3 linked regions of the Coturnix japonica genome follow. The protein of the gene in region 3 interacts with the protein of the main gene of each other region in a pairwise test. Links are inferred from orthologs where the notes say so. Each region holds a gene or a part of one and is shown on either strand. Other genes may lie near its edges.

The links.
Region 1: the proteins of MED4 (region 3) and AMOT interact in binary tests that used the Homo sapiens proteins (3 or more experiments, as listed by UniProt). The two-hybrid records come from large-scale screens. The link is inferred for Coturnix japonica from reciprocal best matches to the Homo sapiens genes MED4 and AMOT.
Region 2: the proteins of MED4 (region 3) and TNFAIP8 interact in binary tests that used the Homo sapiens proteins (3 or more experiments, as listed by UniProt). The two-hybrid records come from large-scale screens. The link is inferred for Coturnix japonica from reciprocal best matches to the Homo sapiens genes MED4 and TNFAIP8.

The regions. Positions count from the first base shown.
Region 1 is NC_029519.1:12,243,710-12,251,355, reverse strand, and holds the start of AMOT (angiomotin), read right to left. Parts: upstream 4,948-7,646; 5' UTR 4,759-4,947; coding exon 4,746-4,758; intron 3,370-4,745; exon of another isoform or gene 3,305-3,369; intron 271-3,304; exon of another isoform or gene 141-270; intron 1-140.
Region 2 is NC_029547.1:63,275,181-63,282,921, forward strand, and holds TNFAIP8 (tumor necrosis factor alpha-induced protein 8), read right to left. Parts: upstream 4,948-7,741; 5' UTR 3,899-4,947; coding exon 3,772-3,898; intron 3,041-3,771; coding exon 2,475-3,040; 3' UTR 1,240-2,474; downstream 1-1,239. UniProt on the Homo sapiens protein: Acts as a negative mediator of apoptosis and may play a role in tumor progression.
Region 3 is NC_029516.1:150,967,990-150,975,368, forward strand, and holds the start of MED4 (mediator of RNA polymerase II transcription subunit 4), read right to left. Parts: upstream 4,867-7,379; 5' UTR 4,794-4,866; coding exon 4,696-4,793; intron 3,797-4,695; coding exon 3,730-3,796; intron 3,081-3,729; coding exon 2,910-3,080; intron 2,291-2,909; coding exon 2,233-2,290; intron 1,410-2,232; coding exon 1,323-1,409; intron 219-1,322; coding exon 87-218; intron 1-86. UniProt on the Homo sapiens protein: Component of the Mediator complex, a coactivator involved in the regulated transcription of nearly all RNA polymerase II-dependent genes.

The DNA of each region.
Region 1 (7,646 bases), on a different chromosome or scaffold from region 3:
CAGGAAGACTTCATTCCCTCTCCTCACACACACCCACACATTGCCTGCACCCTGTGGACTCCCTCACCATCCATGCCAGAGACTGCATGGGGCAAACACACAGGTAGCAAAAAAATATGAATAAAAGCAAAGCCAAGTACCTAAGTGACAGCTGTCCCAGTTTCCAAACTGCACAGATCAGGCATCAGCAAGAAGGGTTAAGACTGGCAAATTGAATCCATGTGCAGCTCATGAAAGTGTGGGAAACAAAAGAGACAATGTGAGTTAAGGACAGAGTATTCATTAGCAAAGGGCTCAAGTTTCTTGGCTTTTGCTGCCCTGCTTCCCAATGGCTATTTTTTTCAAGGTAGCTTTTTGTTCTTTAGTTCTGTGGAAAGACATTATGCTCAAGCTAACTAACAAACTAAGGCTCAGTACATGTGGAACTGCTTAGAGTTATTTGTCTTTTTAATTCCTGGGGACATAAGAGCAATGTCAGAGATAGTTTTCTGCTGGGCTACAGTGGGCTTTGGTCAGAGCTTTATACGACATAGCTGATCCAAAGACCCCCACCACTCATTTATAAATACTCATTTACACTATGGTATTAAGTAGGGAAATCTGATCTGGAGAAAGAGGTCCCAGACACTCAGAGCAGAGCCTAGGGCACAACCCTATCCACAGCCCACTGAGTGATAAAGGAGCACAAGGGGCATCAGTGAGTATCCATGGTAGGTCTGCACCCATCCACCACTTAGGAGACACTCAGAGAGAGCATGCCAGCCTTGTGGTGCCAGGGCTTCAGAAGCAGCTCCATGTCAGGTAGGACATAAATACCATGTTAGGATCCCTTATTGAGGTCCCTACAGATCAGATGAGTACTGAAAACTGAGCCTCCAAGTCCATTCCTTGGGTCCCCAACAAAGCTGAATTCAAGTAATCTGTACAGGGGAGTTGATTTGCTGGTGGAGTTCTGGAAAAATAGAATTTGAAACGGTAGGCTGGAAATTGAAACTAAGGTTCTGCTTCGCTGTTTGAGGCAACAGATATTTATCTACCGAGTTCAGCAAGCATGTGCTGCATTTTCTTTTGACTGTTTTACTTTATGAAGTAAAAAGTATGAATAAGGGTTCCCAAATCAGAGCAACAGCTGAGAGCCCTAAAAAGAACAAGCATGGTGGAAAACAGCAAAGTTTTAACACAATCGTAACAAAGTCAGAAATAATTGTTCTAATGCATTCGGTTCCTGACAAATCTCAGCTTCAGAAGCGCTTTGCATCCACTGAGAGTCCTAAGGAACTTTGAAAGCGTTCAGGGATCACTGACATTTGGCAGAGCGGGGCCAGCAGCAGCAGCAGCCAAAAGCCAAGCAGAGCGCCCTAAAACACCGAGTGAGGAACAGAGATTCCTGCCTAAAGGATCAGAGCAAGTTTCCCATCGTGCAAAACGGCTAAAGGTTTCAGACCTCAAGTTTTCTACTTGTTAAGGAAGTTAATAATTTGAATATGACAGGACTCAGCAGGAGATCATTGATCTACATTAAATGAGAAGATGCTAAAAGCCCCAAGAACTTGAGTAACTGTAGGAAATTAGCATGTTTTGGTTTTTTTTTAATATTAATCATACATGCCAGACTACTCTTAAACATTCTCTTTCCACATTCATATCCACACCTTTACCTTTGTACCATTCGAATTCTGTATTCAGCTCTGTCCCTTGATCATTAATGCAGACTCCTAAGCTTCAGACTTCAAAGAAACGCACGCGTAAGAGTCACAGGCGCAGGACTGGAACAGCGTCAAAGCCTCCCTGTGCAGGAACCTCCATCTTCTGTTTGACTTCACTGTACAAATACTTCGTTCTATCAAGACTGAGAAATTCAATGATTTAAGTAGGGCTTCCCACAGATTAAGTTAATAAGGGAATCCAACAGTGCCTCATCTCCATCCGCCTTCCAAACACTGGTAAATGAAAGGAAATAGGAATGTCTCCTGGGGTAAGAGAAAGACGTGAGCTCTCTACAAATGTGCAAGGGAAGAAACCAAAGGCTTCTTTGTGCGCATATGTACTTTTCCAGGAATCCTCTCCCCTCGTCTCTCCCATAAGTGGCACCAAGTTTTTCTAAGAACGTTATCACATGCAAAGGCAAAGCCTTGTCCAAGCAGCATAGGTTTAGTTTTCTCCCTACATCCTTCTAGACCTGCTCTTCCAAGGTTTTCTGTCAGCCATCTGCCCCATACACTGTTTCTAATGTTATACTTTTATATACTTCCTTTGATCCTTCCCCCTTTTTTCTGCTCTCATCCCCCCACCCTGCAGCTCCCAGTGCTTGTGTACCCCACTGCCTTACTGCTGTGGGTGTCCTCTTGCCACATGGAGCCCATGTCCAGTATCACCAGTGCTTCCCAGAGCTCCAGCCATCCCTTACTATTCTGAGCTCCATGTATATAAAACAATTACAGTTAACACAAAACATCTGGGTTTTACAAACAAAGAAATTACAGCACAGGTAGATCAAAATCAGACCTCTCCTAAGCCCAAAGGGACTCAGTTAATGTAACCTGCAGTCAGCAGCCTCTGAGTTTGAAAATTAAACCAACATCTCGTGGTTGAGACTAAACCCCTGCACAAGACAATCCAAAAGGAGTCTGGCCATTTTAGGTTTGTTCGTAGCTGCTGGTGTATTCCCAGCTTTCAAGGAAATTACCCAACACCAAACACAGGTGCGGTTTCTTTAGTGGTAAGAAAGCTGACATAGCTCTTCAGATTCTGCCATTTTCACCTACAAGATGGTCTGCTCTCACTCTGAACTAAGTTGTAGGATACAACAGTGTAATGCAAGAAGCTGTTATGGATGCACTTCAAATGCCTTATGACGACCCAGAAAACATCAGGCTAAAGTAGCAGTATTGATGGTAGAACGTATGATGACTTATGGAGAAGGTGAACTAGAAAGTCAAACTCAGAAACTTCTCTGCTAATGAGAACATTGCAATTAGGTCATCGCTAAACACTGTGTAACTAGGAATCAGAGCACAAATATTGCCACAGAATAATTAATACGTGACAGCAAGTTCTTGGAATGAGAACAGGGATTTCTCCCACATAGCCCTACTATTGAATTATACAGATAAACAGCAGCCCTGAGATAGTCAGCTTCCAAGGAGGCACGCAGGTAAAACACAGAGATCCAGTTTAGTATGAGCCTAAACTCCCAGACATGAAAGTTCACACCCAACTTTAATGAAAGATAGTGCTCAGAGTGAGTTCTGGGGTCAGAATTCTATTTAGGTCACGTATGAACTTGATCCAGGACACAACTTACTTTAACTATCTTCAGGACTCGAGTTTGAGCAGTGTTTCTAATTTCCAGTAATTATTTCTCTTTTGCTAAAAAAAAAAACCCCTACATTAGTTCCATTTTGCTCAGTTCAGACTGTGGGTTATGGTAGCTTGCTAAACACCAGACCTTTATTCAAACCAGAATGCTTTTTGTCACAGACACCCTGAATCTCTCCCTCTCTACAATCCTACACAGGCACCCAGCAGTACCTGCTGCTGGGGCACACAGGTCAGGAGGGCAAAGAGCTGCAGGTTAATGGGATGCTGCTCTGATCAGGGAGGTTAGGTTACAAGGCCGTGCCTTTGAAGACCGGCTTCTTCAGTGTGGCCCTTTGGTTTACAACTGGGATTTCTTTTAATTAGATTGTATTCCTAATTATTTATGACCTATATTATCTGCAGAAGCTGCCCAAAGCCAAAAGATATCAGCTTTAATGAGGATAATTGGAATAGGTTTTTTTCCCTTCTTTTGTAAAGCACCTTGGGCCTTACTGATTAGAGGTGCTAGGACAGGATTAGATGTTAAATGAAAAACTATTATTAAAACGTGGAATAAGAACGAGGACTGAATTAGAATGGAATTTTCTATTTTCTGTTGCATGAGGGATGAGCAGAAGATCATTTATTAGAGGTGACACAGAAACTTAACCTGAAAATCAAATGGGCATCTTCTTGATGCTCCTCGTGGTAAAGGACTCCAGGCAAGGATGCCATGGGCATGAGCCTGGGACCAGATGTTTTAAGAAGTAAAAACAGCCCCCCAAGTACCTGTGCCATGGGAACACCAGGAGGTGTCCTGGCACATAGGGGTGGTTTCGCTGGGTTCTGGCTACCTACAACATCAAGCAAAAGCAACAGCCGCCAGGTTCCTGCGTGACTGCAGATTCAGCCTTCCGTCCCTCTGCTCTACCAAAAAGATATCTTGGAATTGGCACAGATGGAACTTGTGGCTCTGCTCCCACCATATGGTGAGTCTCGCTGAGAATATTTATAGGCCAACCTGAATCAGCCTGCCTATAAAGGCCCAGTCTTTTTTACCTGGGGCAGCGCAGGGATGGTTGAACCCAGACCTCAGGGGGCTGCTGGGGGATCATTCTCTCTCTATGGGGCAGGGACACAGATACAGAGCTCCCAACACTTCTGGGATCATCACTCATAGATCAACATTTTCTTCTCTCAGGAACCAAAGTAGGAGGATTTGGAGTCCTTTCTGCTTAATTTGGGGTTCGGGCAGAGGTGGATCAGCAGGAATGGGAGCAGTGGGCCAGGCACGCACTGAGGCCACAGGGCTCCTGTGTGGGACTACAGGAGCAAAGTGTCCCCTGGCGCTACATGGACCCAAAAACAGACATGGCAAGGGCCAGCACAGCTCTGCTCTCCCCTTCACACACGCAAACCCCTCTGACCGCAGAGCAGGTACTCACGGCAAACCCTCATAGCCTTCTCGAAGCTTTCCCAGGAGTCTTCCTCAGGACTCGCGGGGGCCTGGGGCTGAGCCCCGGCTCTGCCTCCGTCCCCGGGAGGGGCCCGAGACGGGGCAGCGCGGCCACAGTACCCTCAGGCCGAGCGCGGGGCGGCGGGCAGCCCCTGAGGGAGGGATGGAGGGCAGGAGGGCCGCGGTCGTGAGGCGGGAGCAGACTCCTCGCTCCCCCTTTCCCCCAGCGGCCTCTCCACCGGCGGAGCCCCGCGCCGCTCCCCTGCACCTGCCCGAGCCCGGCATCCCGGCGGGCAGGGCGGCCGCGGGCCCTCTCAGAGGCGCGGAGAACCGGCCTCACCGCAGCGGCCCGCGCCTTCCATCGGTCCCTCCCTTCCCGCTCCTTACCCGGCGGGCGCCTGCCCCGTCGGCCGCCCGCTCATCCATCCTGCCGCTTTCCCCGCCGAGGTGACAAAGCCGGCATGGCAACGGGAGGCGCCGCGCGGCTCTGGGAGGCGCCTTGCCCAGGTTGGGTGGATAACTTTCACCAGGCGGCGGCGGCGCCCGGCATCCCCCGCTGGGCCGGGCCCTGCAGTGGCTGCCGGGAGGCGTAGTCCGCCCGCCCCTCCTCAGCGCCCCGGGCTGCGTGCTGGGCTCTGTCGGTGGCGGCACCTCAGCGAGCGGAGGGTCCGAGCGGGACTTGGTGGGGATGAAAGCTCAGAAGTCCTTCTCAAAAGGCCGAGCGAGTTGTTGTTACCGCTGTGAGTGAGGTACGCCGAGGAGAGCCCGCAGGGAGAACAAAAGGACCCGGAGCTCACCCTTACCTCCAGGTGAGTGGGGTTTCTGAGCTCACGAAATGGCTGCTGCCCACTGGAGGCCCCTCACAGAGTCACAGAACTGCAGGGCTCGGAAGGGACCTCGGGGTTCCATGGAGTCCAACCCCCTGGTCAAACAGGAGCACGCTCCCATCTACTCGACTCTTACACTTGAGATCCCCTCTCAGCCTTCTCTTATCCAGGCTGAACAGCCCTACGTCTCTCAGCCTCTCCTTGTACAGGAGATGTTCCAGGCCCCTCATCTTTGTGGCCTTCTGCCACATGCTCTCTTGAAATAGATAGTTACAGATAGACAAATAGTTACTAAAACTAAACTATAGGCAAAGGTTAAACATCTGGAAATTGTTGTTAATCAGCTGCTGGTCATCAAGCGTACAGCTCCTGCAGACTCATGCAAGGACATTTCATCCCCTTTGCTTTAATATCTGAAAAACTAAGCATGTCTAGTTCTGCTGTTGGTTTGTTCTCAGCACACAGACCTAAGAGTGGCAATAATTAGAATAAGGCATGGAAACAAACAAACAAACCATTCTAAGACATACATAGCACGAATCCAAAAGTCAGGTGCAAAAATATTTTTGAGTGCATACATCTGTGTTCATGGTGCATCACAACTCCTTGCTATATTTGATTACAGACAGCTTTGTCTTGTTGCTTTTGATGAAGAGGAGGAGGACAAAGAGGAGGTAGTGGCCACACACCGACCTTTCACTGTAAATACCAAAGGAGATATGGAGGGTAAGTCTTGTTTTTGCTCCATGGGAAGCCAGCAACACAGGATTCCAAGAGCGACACTAAAACAAGCCTTGCTCTAACAAGGCCTTGTTTGCCAGAGCCAGACAAGAACAGACTGTTATAAAACACGGTGGAACGTTTGTTATTGTAGTAGTAGATTTCCAAAATCCATAGTCTTTTTGTGGCTGACAAGCTCATTCTTTTCTTTGCCTCGTTACTGCAGCTGTGGGAGGTCTGCACCCCTGCCTGGAAAACATGAGCAGCAGCTAGAAAGCAATCCTAGCAAAAATCTGCATCATTCATGTGTAATCAGACAATGCTTGGGAGATTTACAAAGGAGGGAGGGAGAAGACTTACAGTGCTGCAATCATTTACATTATTTCTGGTTGCTTTTCAAGTGTCGCCTTTAGGTTTAAAATGTAGCAAGTATAATTTTCATATATACCTTCATAAGCACTTTAACTTGATTGGGTTTTAATTTGCATCCTGCTGTGACCAAGTACCATTTAGCAAATAGACCACGTCTGTTTATAACACATACCTCCATTTTGTCTTGGCAGTACTGTATACATTACATACTTTAACTTAAAAGCATGCTCTGTATTGCAGCTTATTGCTCACCTCAAAGATTCTCTCCACAGCTCATCCCTGCGTTGTTCAGCTCAGCCCACACCCAACACCCAGGATGGCAGTGTGATAGTACTGCAGGGAAGCCACTAGGTCTAGAGCAGGCAATCACTGCTTTATCACTGCTCAGTGATCCAGGAGAAAGATACATATTTGAATCACTGCATTCTTGTAGTTCTTCTGAGTAAAGCTTTGTATGACTGCTGACTTGATCCAAAACACACTTTTGGGTGATTTGTAGCCAATGTGATTTTGCTATATCACTGAGTTTCATTCAGAGCTACCTTGTACTTACATTTGTGTCCTGTAGCAGGTGCAGGAGCCAACCCCACAACAGCCAGGATCAGAATAATCCCAACTTCATACATTTGCACCACATTGGTGCTATTCCACTGACAACGCTTGTAGTTCTGCAATGTGTTTGATCTGTAAACAAGCCTGATTATCTGTTTTGCTCTGCTTGTTTTAGCACTTTTATGCTCACATACATGAACAAGAGTATTGCAGTTCTGTTTGTGTACATAAGGGGGAAGGCAAAAACCTTGAGTTCTTACCTGCCTGCCTTCAAAGGTTCCAGAATATTTAAGTTAGAGACATTAGCTGTCTACTGTGCAGCAAGTTTTCTCTACAATAACCACATTTGAAGCTTTGACCACTTTTTACTACACCTACTATTAAAATTTCATCTTCTCTCTTACTTGATGACATGCAAG
Region 2 (7,741 bases), on a different chromosome or scaffold from region 3:
GTAATCAATTCCGTCTAACATTCTCCTTAGATGTACATGTAATATAATAGGGACAAAATGAACAGGGAAGGAATAGATAATTAGCTGAAAAGCAACTGCTGCCCAGTAGGCAGGATAACTATGTAAAGCAAAGGAAAGCTTTGGCAGTAGGTTGCCAGGTGATGAATGGTGTGTGACCACCTAAGCCTGCAGCGTGCAACTTATTCTTTGTTCCTAACACTGTCATCTTTGACCATGATGGAGTTACAAACCCATGACCATGAAAACAAGCATGTTCTGATTTCTTGGGGGGTTACATGCACAGATCCAGCTTACCTTTCAACAGTCAGACTGCAACTGGATTGGCAATATCTACCAGTGCTGGAAAGCAGCTACATCAAACTGGCATTAAAATGAGTCCACTCTTTCCTTGGGACGATGCAATCCTTTTCTAGGGGGAGAGAAATGGCATCCAAATGGCATCAATTTCAATGCACACACTAATGACGCTATTCTATCTATAATCAAACAGCACTACTGGAACCTTTTCATTTTTAAACCCGGCCAGACAAGGATTGTACCAAATCTGTGCTAGAGGGTTGATGCAAGGACATCAAGTGTGTGACTAGGAAAACCGCTATCAATTTATCTCTGAGTTTTGGTACTTAAAGTCATTACTTATTTATGCTGCAGGAAAAATAAAAGGACTGCAAAATGACACAGGTTAAGTGCTATGCCATGCTATTTATTAAAGCAAGCCTTTGGAAATCCAGTACCATATCTTCCTTATGATTTCGTAGCCCTATAAATGACTTCTGGTGGGCTAACCTGCCATGTATTTACTGCTTCAGTAAAACAGGAGGGACAGACCTTAACTGACACTCATTCAGATGTCAAACAAATAATCTAACTCTCCTCAAATTCTGAGGCACTGTTCTTACATCACTTCCACATTACTCCAGCCAAGCAGTGCAGTATATTAATCAGCTCTCCCTCTTGTATTCTAATGGCTTGTACAGAAGGAGTCTGTGTTTTGAACACACATTTATCTGGCAAACCTCTGGTGTCTTTCTGGGGATTATTCAGAGCCTAGTGACTGAGCTAATGCGATTTCAAGTGAACTCTGTACTCTAAAACTTGACGTGGGATGCTGAAGCAATATCTCAGACTGTAATGTTCTGGTTGTCTGCATGCTCCAAGTACTTTCTTTGTAATTCAAACTGCAACAGGGAGGGGGAAAAAAAAAAAAAACATGAAAAGTTCAGAGTGCAAATATTCTTTGGTTTACTCATTAAAACAGACATAGCAAACAGCAAACAAAAAACTGGCAATTAAATAAACTGCAAATTCTTTATATGCTTTCTAACAAAAGTCTTCAGGTGTTTGAAATGTATTAACTTCACACTTTTAAGTACATTACAGTGTCTAGGAAGTCACATTTATTTACCCCAAGGGCAAGGCAGGGAGAAGATGAGGGAGGAAGAGGAAGGATGAAAGGTAGGAGGGGAGATGAGAACAGAAACTGATTCAAGATGTCACTCCTCCAGTAGTTCAAGAGCATATAACCCCAAAATGATCTGTTGTTAGATACACTATAAACAAAGCAAACTGGCTTGGAATTTATTTTTCAGATCATTAAGCTTTCCGAATGCACATAAACCCAAAGTGTAAAATAAGCTGACCTTTGCTGAAAGAATTATGCCATATTAGCAGGATTCCAACAATCTTAAGGAACTGCAGAAGTAAGTCACTGTGTTTTACCCTACAATTTCATATGCATGTACCACAGGTTCTGTTTAGGGAGTGTTTTTTCCCCCCATTTAGGCTACTTCACTGCAGCTTATTGTTCCTGAAACAATCAAAGGAAACAAAGCATCTGTGTACATCTGCTGGGATCACCTGATGGCCTTTCAGACATTGCTGAGCTGGAGAAGCACAAAACCAGTTCAGACACTGTGACAGCATCACTGGTGTTATGCAAAACTGAATGTCTTGCAGGGGCAAACTAGGAAGCTGTGATCTGTGCAGACAGCATAAAAGAATACAAATCGATCAGATACAAATGTTACAAATAAATTGAAGATATCATAGAGTGTACCATGACACCACGTTACCAACATTACTGGACACCAGTGGCTTATAAATATTTATATAAATATATGGATTGTCTGACAGCAAGTTAGTTTGTTTTCTGTATCTGTTTTGTGTACCCTACTTGGACCTTTCTATTCTATTCTGTTTATCCATCCGTTCCCATGGGCAAAGCACAGCAAAAGAAGGTAATGTGCCATCTTTCTTCCAGATGGACTGCAAATAGCAATGGATAGCTCATAAGAAGTAATCAGTTTAATAAAGATCATTTTGAAATATTTGTCAGAATATAAAAAAAAAAAAGAAAAAAAGAAATCCCCATTTTCATGCTCCCTTATTCCTTCATAAATCAACAGTGTTCCACCTACAAACAACACACGGGCAGTCAACTTTAGCACAGGTGCTTATATGTTCCCCTCATCTAGCATTCTGTTGACCCCGTCACAGAGTTTCTGCAGATGAAGTTTATAAGGTCCAAAGGGATTATACAAGGCAGCCAAAAATTCACAATCGGAGAAGTGATCAAACACGTTGTTGACACGTCCGTGCGATTTCGCTGTTAGGTGACGCTGAATGATCTGATGAAGCAGCTCTCTACAGTCATTCAACAGTTTGGACAAGAAATTCCTGTCAAAGGTATAATCCACCTGATGGAAACTGACCACCGTCTTCGCCAGCTGATGAACTTTCTTCTTGAATTTCTCCATCAGCGCAATTTCATCTTGATTAAATTGATTGTTCCTGTAGAGAATAGCCAATTTGAGGACTATTTTAATGAGGTTTTTGATGATCTTCTCTGCTTCTTTTTTATTTTGTGTGTATTCCTTTGTCACTCTGTAGAGCTCATCTAACACATCACTGCTGGTATCATCTATCAAAGTAGTTGCTATTGACTTGGACACCATTTTCCCAAGGATCTTCTTCTGGGCCTGAATGGCCAAGCTTTTCGAATTGAAGACATCCGTGGCCACTGGGGAAGGAAGAAAACAGACAAATTGGTAGTCAATACCTCATCACACACCTGCTATTTGAGGAGCATCTCCGTGTCCACCCATTCATCTCACTAATCACAGCAGAAATAATATAATCTTAATGAACAGAGTTGCAGAAAGATCTTATACCACCTCATTAATGGGCCCTTCTGTGAACATTTAAAGTAGATCCCAGAGCTACCTGCAAAACTATATTTATTTGCACCTCCTGCAGCAGCTCACGGACGGGCTGCTGCCTTCCTGCAGCCCCAGCAGGCCCAGCTTCAGCCACTCACATGCATTTGGCATAAGGAAAGTTTACTTTGTAAACACAGAGTCTGGAAACAGTCTAGGCAAGGAGTCTGCTCCACCACAGGCAAGGGAAGGAGGCTGTCCTCCGGGACAAGCAGACACAAACCCCTACTTCTTCCCCAACCTCATCTGAAAACATAAAACTACAACTCCTTTATTAAGGTCTCAGCAATACAGCACCGGCCGGCTGTACACATTTTCTAGCTGAATGGTAGAATGCATAAATTTCACACTTCAGCATCTCAGTCAATCAAAAGATACCTGCAAGCTGCTTTTGTTCCCTAAGCTTTATTTTCCCTCACCACCTACGTAAGAAAGAGCTACAAGCACTTCAGTCAAGCTGAGTTTAACCAGGACGCTCACAGGACTCCTGCAGACTCGGCACACAAACTTCCTCTTAATAAAAGCAATTACTTACTCGTTCCGCAAATGGAATTGCAATTGTCAATGCAGACGGCAGTATCCAAGGAAAAACAACTCAGTATAGAGCTTAATGACTCTGCTAAACGCAGCACGTGCTTTATCACACCCTTATCGGTGATCATGGAGCGGACACGCTTTCCTCCCACTCTCCATAGCAGCCACTCTTCTCAGCCACCTTTCCCCTCAGCCCGAAACGCTTCATTTTACTTTGGCACCTCAGAACGTAAAAATACGTCTCAGTGGTTTCACTTCCTCTAACAGAGAGCTGGAAGGAAGTTGCAGTGCTGAGCAAGCAGCAGTGCAGCACCGCTAACAGGGAGCCACACTGGGTTGGGGAGGGTGGGTTGGAGCAAGCAGCCCAGCATGAAGTGCTGGCCATGGCCCTGGTGCTGTCCTGCAGATTACTTTTTTATTCCTTAAGTCTGTGCTGCGAATGTGAACTTTTAGTGCAAATGGACAATTCAATCTTAATGAGTTCTCAGGAGCCCGGTGTAAAAGCACTACGAAGCTGTCACAGCACGGAGCTCATTCTCCCCTCATATGGAAGGCAGTATTTCTCCCTCTGTACTGTGGCAAATACCTATTACCAAACACCCCATTTCTCAACGCTTAGAAGAAAACATACTTAAAGAAAGAACGGCACAGAATCAGATGACTTCACTGCTTTAAGCCAAGATACAATTATTTTTTCCCGTAAGATAACAGGAAACTGTAGCTGCAGTGGTGCCAGCAGACAGGCTCAGTGTACTCCATCTCATGCATACTGACAACGAACACTTAGTCACTGAATGTTTGTAAGCTTGCTGTCATAGGGATAGACATTAAAAATTAAATAAAATAGAACCACCCAATAAAAATCTTCCAGTGAACCCTGAATACCATGGGCAAACCAGGATCTGAACTTTTTGACATGGGTTGCATTTCTGATTCATGTACTCGGCATGTCGGTGTACAGTTAGACTACAGAGCTGTTATGCAGCCACTGGAGACTGCTTTCACTTTAATGGCTGGCGGGGCACGTCCTGCACTAATTCTCTGCAAGCTCCAGAAACCACAGGGGACTTTGGGTGAGGCACACAGGACACAGGAAAAGAGATGTAGGAGAAAAGTGACAGCACCAACTGAGAACATCAGGCCCCATCTGAAAGGCCGCACCACACAGTTTTGAGAACTGTGGCAAGTGATTTCCTGCCTGGCTTCCTGTGTGGACAAGCATGCTTGCCTCCGCACAGGCTGCAGGTTGCAACTGAAGCGAGAGGCAGCAGCATGCCCTGCGGCTGGAGCACTGCTTCCCCAGAGGAGGAGGTCAGGAGACAACCTGAAGCCAAGCTGGATGCTGCAGGTTAAAGTCAGATGGTGCTGCAGGAAGGATGCCATTACCAACAAGAACGTATGTGCAGTACTGCAGTCCCACGAGAGCGGCCTATGCCAACAAGTTATTCTGGTTTTACATGACTCTGCTTCCCAGAGCCACCCTGTGCAGCACATGACACATGCTGAAGCTGATGCAGAAACTCAAAAAGCCTTCTTGAAAGCTTTTTTTTTTTTTCCTCTACAGCCTCTGTATGTACTTTAATTCATAGGTCAGACATTGGCACAGGTTGCCCAGAGAGGTGGTGGATACTCCCCCTCCCCAGGAAGCATAGGGCAGGCTGGATGGGGCTGTGAGCAACCTGGTCGAGAGGGAGGTGTCCCTGCCTGTAGCAGAGGGTTGGAATGAGGTGATCTCAGAGGTCCCTTCCAACCCAACCCATTCTGAGATTCTATGAATAGCCTCACTTTAATTAGAAAAAAAAAAAAATCGTATTAACCTCTGATGACTTCTAGGCATATTTTAAAATTTACTGGATTTTAAACAGAGAACTCAGCAGTCACAGAAAGTAGAGCCCTTTCACTCCTTTGCCACCATGTCCCATCCCTGCTGGAATGTACCAACAGGTGCTGAGGGATTAGATCTCAACTCTTGGCTGCACTGAGTTCCTCCATATCTACACTAAGCAGCAATTGTGCATCAACCTTATCACGTGAAATAAAGCACATTCCAGGTCATTCCTTCAGAACAAGCAAACAGCGTGCAGATAATCTGTGTTTTCTGTCCCACCTCAGAAACATTTCCCAAACTGCAGAAAGCCAAGTCTCAAGTTTCCTAACTCAACTGGCATTTCCAATAAAATAATCAAACCGTTAGAACTGCATCTTTTACCAAAAGCTACAAGTTTAAAAAGAGATATCCAGCTGCTTTCAGAACCATGCCAACAATGGGAATGCCTCATTAGCAAAATACACCTTAGCTGCAGGCACAGGATATAGGGCTGAATGCAAGAGGAAAAGCACAGTGAGAGGCAGGCCAAGGGAAATCTCAGTGCATGAAGGGACTCAATTTTACCCAGGAGAAGTAAAAAAAAGAGGATGTTACAGATACATGCAGCAAAAAAATACAATTAACTGATACCTGCCCACAAGGTAGAGAGAAGAAAACAATCTGGCCCGAGAGGAACAGGGAGAACTATTGCTAGAACAAGCAGCAACTTCACAGTCGAAATGCAAAGAGCACGTACTTTGAATAGCATGTAAAGAAAGCCACAGCAGAAGACAGTTCAAATGAGAGAAAGGTCTGTGAGTCTTTCACTGACTTTGAAAATAATGAACAACGTTTTTCCTGTATTTCTAGTTCCAGTCCTGTGTTGTTGCAGGCGTCAGTCTGTGCTCCACTGTCTGCATCCTGCAGACAGGATGGCATTCCACCAGCACCTCTTCTTCAGCGCAAGGCTGAAGGAAGAGCAAGGTGAGCAGCCTATGCTTTGGTTGTGTCTTACTCTCCCATCGTCCACTTGAGGAGAGCGCCTAAACTCTAAAGTAAAAGCAAAACCAGTCTTCCTAGATACTCAGTTTGGTTTTGCTTTCATTAACATTATTAAAACATGTCTGGTAAAATATAAAAGGAAAGCAATAGCAATTCTGCTTTTAGATGCTGTAAATATCAACTAAATAGTAATTCAGGAATTCAGTCACACCCCTTTGCTTCATCTACACGTCCATGCCAGACACCGTTCTGTTGGACTGCCCCTCTGCTGCCATCTGTCACATGAGAACAACATGGAATGGAATACTGGCAGGAAGGTTCAACCCCTGCCAACATCCACCTGTGACATCATGGGCCAACATAGTAAAATAGGAGGCGTTACTTTCAGAGCAGCCCTCATGTATTGCAATGTCAAACTAAAATATACAACAATGGGTGTGCAAATAAAACTGGCTTTTTGTCACTGGTGTAGAATAAAAGACAGGTTTCCCAGTTTCTCCCTTCCTCACCTAGAACAAGGCTGGGCACAAGTGAGAGCAAGTTGGAGGTCTGTGCTGACGCAGTGGTTACAAGGAACCAATCTACTGGCAGACACAGGTACATCATTAATCACACCATTTTTTTTGCTATTCAGAAGTCATTACAGGGGTGTGTCTGCAGAATAAAAATTGTACATATGCTCTTAAAAGTAAACAACTCACACAACGAAGAAAAGTGGCAGAACAAGAGAAAAACTGAAAGGCAGCAACTTCTGTAATTGTTACTAATGAAAGAAAAGATGGATGAATTCAGACTGAAGATAGGAGTGGCTGTTGGTGCCTGGGCTCTTCCTTACAACATCACTGGCTTTTGGATTACAAAATACTGAGTATTCTTAGAAGCCATTTGTTTAGCCAGCTCCTGAACTTGGAAATGGCACTGTCAAAGTGCTGCAGCTTTTCTGAATGCTGGCGAACTCCTGGAAATGAAGGAAGATTGATTTAAAAAAAAGCATTTTAAAACAAAACGTCATCCTCCTGTCAGTGGAGCACTGTGTCCAGTTTTCTCCTGCCTAGCTTCTCTGCTAGAGGAACTAACACATTCAAGCCTATCCAAGAAGGCATGATCAGGGAGCTACAGCACATGCTGTGTAGAACAGGCTGAGAGTGCTGGGCTTGCTCAG
Region 3 (7,379 bases):
GATTTCCCATTGCAGAGACACATTTGTAATTACTCTGACTATATGAGGAATAAGAATAATTAAATAAAAAATTGAACTTTTCTTACCTGGCAATCTGCCCGCTGCAAGTGCATCCCCTGGTAAGTGTCCATTAACCCCATTGGTGGATGGGTTGTTCATCTGACCCAAGAGACCACTCCTCATTTCTAGATCTGTAGGATATGGCCTGCGTGGATCCCCTATTAATAACGACAGTGATAATAATTAGATATTAATTAGAAAATATTATCATCTTTCTCTTCTGTGTCTGGTTTCCTGTCTGGATCAAGAATGAGCATCACCCCTATTCTATTAAAACTGGAGACTTTTCTTGCTCATTCTAACTTGTCACAAAAATTACATTACAGTAACTTCAGAATATCTTTGCTCTCTCTGTTACTTGACAGCTAAATAATTATGGGATGAACGCACTAAATGTACTCCTGTCAAGAGGGACTCATGGATGAAAAATTGGGCATGAGCTGCCAGCACACAGTTGCAGCCCAGAAAGCCAATTGTATACTGAGCTGCAGCAGCAGCAACGTGGCCAGAAGACTGAAGGAGATGGTTCTCCCTCTATTCTCTACTCTTATGAGACTCCAACTTAAGTACTATGTTCAGCTCTAGGGCCCTCAGCATTAAGACATGGAGCTGTTGGAGCTGGTGTAGAGAAGTGCCATGAAGATTACCAGAAGGCTGAAGCATCTCTCCTATGAAGAGGGACTGAGATAGTTGAGGTTGAGGCTTTGGGGAGACCTCACTGCAATCATTCAATACTTAAAGAAGGCTGATAAAAAAAGATGGACAGAGCACCTTTTTACAAGGGCATGTAGTGATAGACTGGGATTAGATATAAACCAAATTAGATCTAAAAGTAGATTTACATTAGATATAAGCAAGCCATTCTTCAATATGAAGGTGGTGAAGCACTGGAACAGGTTGCCCATGGAGGCTGGGGAAGCCCCATCCTTGGAAATACTGACAGTTGCGTTGGATGGGAGCTCTGGGCAACCTTGTCTAGTGGAGGGTTTGAAACTGGATGGTCTTTAAGGTCCCTTGCAACCCAAGTCATTCTATGACAAGTTGTCATGGTTTTGTAACGTTGCTGTCAAAATTCCACATCATAACATCATGTGCAGTATGGATCATTAAATTTCTTCAGAAACCCTAGATGTAACAGCTATAAAAATATACATATCTTTAATAAATCAAACTGTCCTTCATTGTGTAAAAACATTCTAAAACCAGATACTGATTGTGCTCTATTATTCAAGAACAAGAATAGTCATAAGCACGATATTTACCTGGTACCCACGTCAGAGGGGCACAAACAGCATTACTAGCACTGATCCTGTGGGCGTATTTAATTATTTCTTCAGATGAAATGGCACCTGGAAGAAGGAAGAAAAGTTCCTGTATTTAAGAGACTGCATCGTTTGATTATTTCTGAATATTGGATGGTTTTTCATACAGAAAAAATTAGGAAAGTCATTCTGTCAAACATCAAAATATGCTTCAAATGCAATGACTGATCAGAGATTCAGAACAAGCGTCATAGTGAATTCACTTTCCAGCCACATGTTCCGTATACCTTGGAGTGTTAACAGGTCTTCAGCCTTTTGAAGAAACACAAACCAGTATCTTCCACAGTGCACTTGACAAGCACATTGTTAAAGAAAATTTCAGCACTTTTACTACAGAAGTTCTGCAGTAATTAAAATCTCTTTCTTCTTCGTAGCTGTAGTTATACATGTACGCAGTAGACCTTCCCCTAATAAATACACTTGTATTCAAGTTCCTCTAATAAATACACTTGTATTAGAGTTACTAGAATCATTCTGAAATTCCTTGATTTGTTTAGAAGGAAGTATGGCAAAAATGACTATAAACAAAACTTAAAAATGCTGCCTACCAAAAAAAAAGAAGAAAAAAAAATCAGTTTGACTGGGAAACTGCCACTCATAGCAGCAATTGATACAAATACAAACAAATATCACCAGCTAATCAGTCTTTTATAAACAATGGTATCATATACATGTACACAAAAAAAACCCTTTCACTTTTCCAGGTAGTCACACTGAAATGATTTGATTTAGGCAATATGAAATCTGTAATAGCCTTAAGAGAAAATTACTAACTTAGATTACTAACTTGAGCTCACTTGCAACACTCTTTACAACTGTTTGTATGTTATGTACGATCGCGGATACTCACCTTTCCTTGCCTTTTCAATTGATTTCAGTTTTTCCTTTGCTTGATAAACCGCTGTGGCCTAAATGTGAAAAAAAACAAGAAAGAAACAACACTATCTACAGCAGGGGAGATTCAAGCTGGACATTAGGAAATAATACTTCTCAGAAAGGGTGGTCATGCACTGGAATGGGCTGCCCAGGAAAGTGGTGGAGTCACCGACCATGGGGGTGTTCAAGGAATGACTGGATGTTGTGTTGAGGGACATGGTTTAGTGGGAGCTATTGGTAATAGGTGAACGGTTGGACTGGATGATCTTTTAGGTCTTTTCCAACCTTGGTGATTCTATGACTCTAAACCAAAACTTCACTGTATCTTTCATTTGTATCCTTCTGTATTAAGATCTGTGTGACTAAACCCTTGATGTAACTGCATTTTAGGAGAGAAACTTCTCCGGAAACGCTTCAAAATATACAGAAACAAAGTAGATTTGTAGAAAATTATCAATATAAAGTAACTGAATGCCATGATAAGGAAGTAGTTTTACTGGGAGGGGGGGAAGACAATAAAACAACCAACTCTAAAGCTCTCACAAAGTTTTAAACATTTCAAACTTCTCAAACTAACACAAAACTTTCTCCAAAGCTTTTCCCCTCCCTACTAGCAGATGCTCAGAAGCAAACACATCATTATGAACTTACCAGTATGTGCTCTGCTTCTTTCAGTTGCTTCTGCAGCTGCTGAATGTCATTATCTCTCTTTTCTACTACCTTTTCTAAAAGCTGCATTTCATGATGGATTTTCCCCTGATCAACTGCCAACTTCATTAGCTCTTGAAACTCTCCATCTCTCTGAATCAGCAGCTCCAGGATCTATTAGACAAGAGTTTTGTAGAACTTTTAATTAGCTCAAGTAACAACGCACCCTCCACCACACTGCAAAAAGCAACTGATATCCACAAGATTATTATTTCTTGCTCAGCTTGCAGAAACAGCCTACGAAGCATGAAACAAATGAACAAGCAATCAAAAACATGAAACCAAGAATGCTTTTTCAGTGATGCCAAAGCTTCATCATCATCGTTAGGAGTCCTCAGTCTCAGGACTAAGTCTCAGGACACCCAGGAGGGGAGTAAACTCTTCGAAATGGCTGACAATAGCAGGACATGGGGAAATGGTTTTAAGTTAAAAGAAGGAAAATTTAGGTTGGATGTTAGGGGGAAGTTCTTCACTAGGAGAGTGGTTAGGCCTTGGAACAGGCTGCCCAGGGAGGTTGTGGATGCCCCGTCCTTGGAGGTGTTCAAGGCTAGGTTGGACGGGGCCCTGGGCAACCTGATCTAGTAAAGGTGTATGTTTGGTGGCCCTGCCAGGCAGGAGGGTTGGAACTACATGATCCTTGAGGTCCCTTCCAACCCGGCTCATTCTGTGATCTGTGATTCTGTTAGTTCATGTACAAAGGGAGAAAATAAGAAGACATAGCATTTACCTGCAAAAAGGATAGCAACTAAGAAAGTCAATTTACCTGGCTCTCTTCTCCTGGTTGTGGAAGCTTCTGGTTTCTTGAAATTGCCAAAATTTCAATTAGTTCCCTAAAAGGAAAACAGTATTTATGCAGTTTTCTAAGCTATTATTTGTAAATCACACCAAATCATCCCCAACTGAGTATTTACATCATTATTAAATCATTCTTGTTCTTAAGTATTTTACAGTTTTACATCACAGTGTTGACAGGGATTTCACTTTTACTTCCATAAACATAAGTATTTCACAATGGTGTATCAGCTGTGCACCAAACTCACAAGAATTAGCTTAAAAGAGCTTCTCAAACAGACCTCTTGATCTTGCCTCCATTTAGTTTTCCCACCATCATGTAGAGCCACAAAGAACCTCAAATGGAGCAATGAAGTTACCATCCTTGAAGGTGCTCAAGAAACATATAGCTGTGGCACTGAGGGATGTGCTTAGTGGGCATGGTAGGGACAGGGTGATGGTTGGATTAGATGATTCAAGAGGTCTTTTCCAACCTTAATGACATTCTCTACGACTAGAATAAAGTTGATTGCGACTGTGAAAGGCCCAGCTCCATGGTACTGCTGATCACTCACATGTTGCTGACAGGCTTTGGGTTTGCTATCGCAGAATCATTAAGGCTGAAGAAGACCTGTAATTACATCCAGTCCATCCATCAGCTCTTCCCACCATGCCCACTATCCCTGTGGCAGTCACTGAGCCACACGGCAGGTTGGTAGCGAGTAATAAGAGCTGCTGGAGAGACAGACTGCTTGGGAGGCAGACTGCACAGGTGCCAGCGAGGAACAAAGCTCCGAGCACACGAACCAGAGCACGGACACAGCTCTCCTGTTGCCCCCCGGGCCCCACGCGTGCGTTCGGCCCCAGGCCGCCGCTCATCCTTCAACCCAACCCCGGCTCCTCGCTCGCTTTCCCCGCCGGAGCCTCGACACCGAGTCTCGGCCATCCCATCGGGTACCTGGCCAGGAGTTCCAGATCCTCCAGCGCCGCCAGCAGCCTCTCCCTGGTGCTGCTCCGCTCACCACCTCCCCCGGCCGCCGTTGCCGCAGCCGCCATCACGCTCGCGGACCCGCCCCCGCCGTAATCCAGCCCCGCTCGGGCGGGACACAGCGGGACACAGCGCCTCCAGCGGCCGAGGGACTGCGGCACGACCGGCAGGAGGCGGGAAGCGGCAACGGCCGCCCTGAGGGGCGGGGAAGGGCGGGACGGCGCGGGAGGCTGGGGCGTGGGGAGCCGCCATGTCGGGGGGCGGAGATGACGTTCGCTTCGGCTTTAGGTGTGGGCTTGTGAGCGCCGTGTCATGGAGCTAGTTCTTTGTAGGTGGAACTGTGCTTAGAATCGTTTCTGAGCCTAAGTTCGTAACCACCAGCTCATCCCGCCATGCACACTAACCGTGTACCTCAGTGCCACAGCTGCCCGGCTCTTGAACTCCTCCAGAGACGGTGACTCTAAGAGCCTCTAAATGGGATTCATACCTACTCTAAAGATCTAGAAAGCAAATGATAAAGAAAGGGGGTATGACTGAATTCCATCTTATCATTTCGTACTCAGTGTCTGTGGGTGCTGATGTCTGAAAATCCTTTAGGTGGCTTTATCAGATGGAGGAGGAAAGTGGCTGAAGAATGTTAAGAGTGATGCTGAAGGAGCCAGGATCACCTCTTGCCTAGGTTTCCTATCCCACAAACAGCAGGACTTCACAGCTATCAAGGAAAAATGACCATCCCAATTTGCCAAGGCTTGCCCATAGTAGCCAACCGCAGCTCTGCTTCATTACAGAGGTCTGCTTGCAATGACAGGGCAGCAAACATGCAAGTGCTGCCCTCTGTCATGTCAGCAGTTGAGCTAGAATTAAAATATACTGAGTTGTATGGGTTATGTTTTGGGGTTTTTTTAAGTGTTGCTGTAATTCGGGTGGTTCTGTAAACAGGCCTCTGGCTCTGGGTGGGGACACAAAAGAAGCCAGACTGAAGCCAGTGGAATTTTTTACATTCATGAAATCTTCTGGTAATATGAAGAGATCAGGACGGAAGGTGGAGGCAGATGAGGAGTGAAAACAAATCCAGAGCCAGGGTTTATGTCTGGGGTGAGGACTTAGGCAGAAGCCATGGTGTCCTCAGCCTCCACATTCTTCTCTTGCCAGCAGGCAGCTGCCGAACCCGCCAGCAAAGCAGTGATTCACTTCTCTCTTCATTAGAGAAAGCTTCAGATGAATGATAACGTCTCTGGATGTTCTAATACTAACGCTGATTATCTTTTTACCTTCTGTAATAAGTACGTCCCTGAGAAATTTACACTTATTAAAAAAATGAAAGGCAAGAAACTCATTAATCAACGATCCTTTGAATTGTGGTTTAAATAAACAATTCAGCGTTATGAGATCCATGATGAAGCAGTGAGATTTGGCAACCCTGAAATGGAGATAACCGCCAACGAGAGTTATTTAATATTCATTTACAATATACAACAGCCCTCAGAGTCCTGATGGTAGATAGTTTGGGAATTCTCTTGAAGCTACACAGCAGATAAAATCTCATCAAATAGTTCTACTCTTTAAATAACTTTTTCTTGCTTTTTTTTTTTTTCACTGTTTTTGTTCAAGGAAAGATGTAATCAGTGATGCTGTCTGGTTGTGCATCCACTTCACTGATTTGTTAGAGTGTCTGTATGGCTGCATGAGCAGAAAGAAAATAGCAGCTTCAGAAAGTAAAGCAATCCTTCTGCTAAATCATTTTCTTCCTCGCATTCATTTTGACATCTGAATTATTTAGGCCTGATGTATTTCTAATACATTTCAGGGCCGCGATGCTAGAGCTAAAACTTATAGCATTAATTGGACGCCCAAACTTGACAGGCCAAGGGTGTAGGAGGTTCCTGCAAGCTGTCTTTCCCTTCTTGCATCCAGGAGCCTGTTGCCTCCATCCCTTTCGACAACAGTATGTCTACGAGCCAGGCCAGTGCCACCAGGCTTTCATTGGAGCAGCTGCCTCCCTCCTCTCGCTTCCCAGGCTGACGACCCTCCTCTAGGCAGCGTGTTCATCGTGCTTTTGTTCTGGTGTCTGATCCTTCCCCTCTCCTTGCTCTGGGGATGGAGTAGAGGATATCAAGGGCAGGTTCCCAGGCAAAGGCTGAATTTGAGCTCCTGCCTCTACGTGGGAGGATGGGCTGAGGCCAGAGGCATTGGGAAATGCCTGCCTGTGTGAAGACATAGAGCGTCATTCAGACTGTGGTAGAGAGGTCATCTCCTTCTGGGCAAAGGGGAAGGCTGGGTTAAATGGGCTTGCACCCTAAACTTGCCCCATGGCCCACTTGTTTAAGACTAAGTGGATGATTTGCTGAATAGACTTCTGAGCCGCACAAAACAACGGAGCATCTGTTTCCCCAGTGTAGGTTCCTCTGTTTCCTTGGTTCCTCAGTGCTTTTGGATTTCTTTCCCCTGAGTAAACTTGTTTCATAGTTGTGTTGGTGTTGAGCCAGATCTGCTCCTTTAAAGCTTATGCATTTCCTGAATAGCTAAGCATCATTCCCTGTTTTTTCTCAGTAGCTTGAGAAGATTTTTAGTTGGTGGCCATGAAGATAGCTCTCCATGCACAGTGAGTCTCCCCCCATCTCTCTTTGGCCACGCATTCTATCTCATTCCTCTTT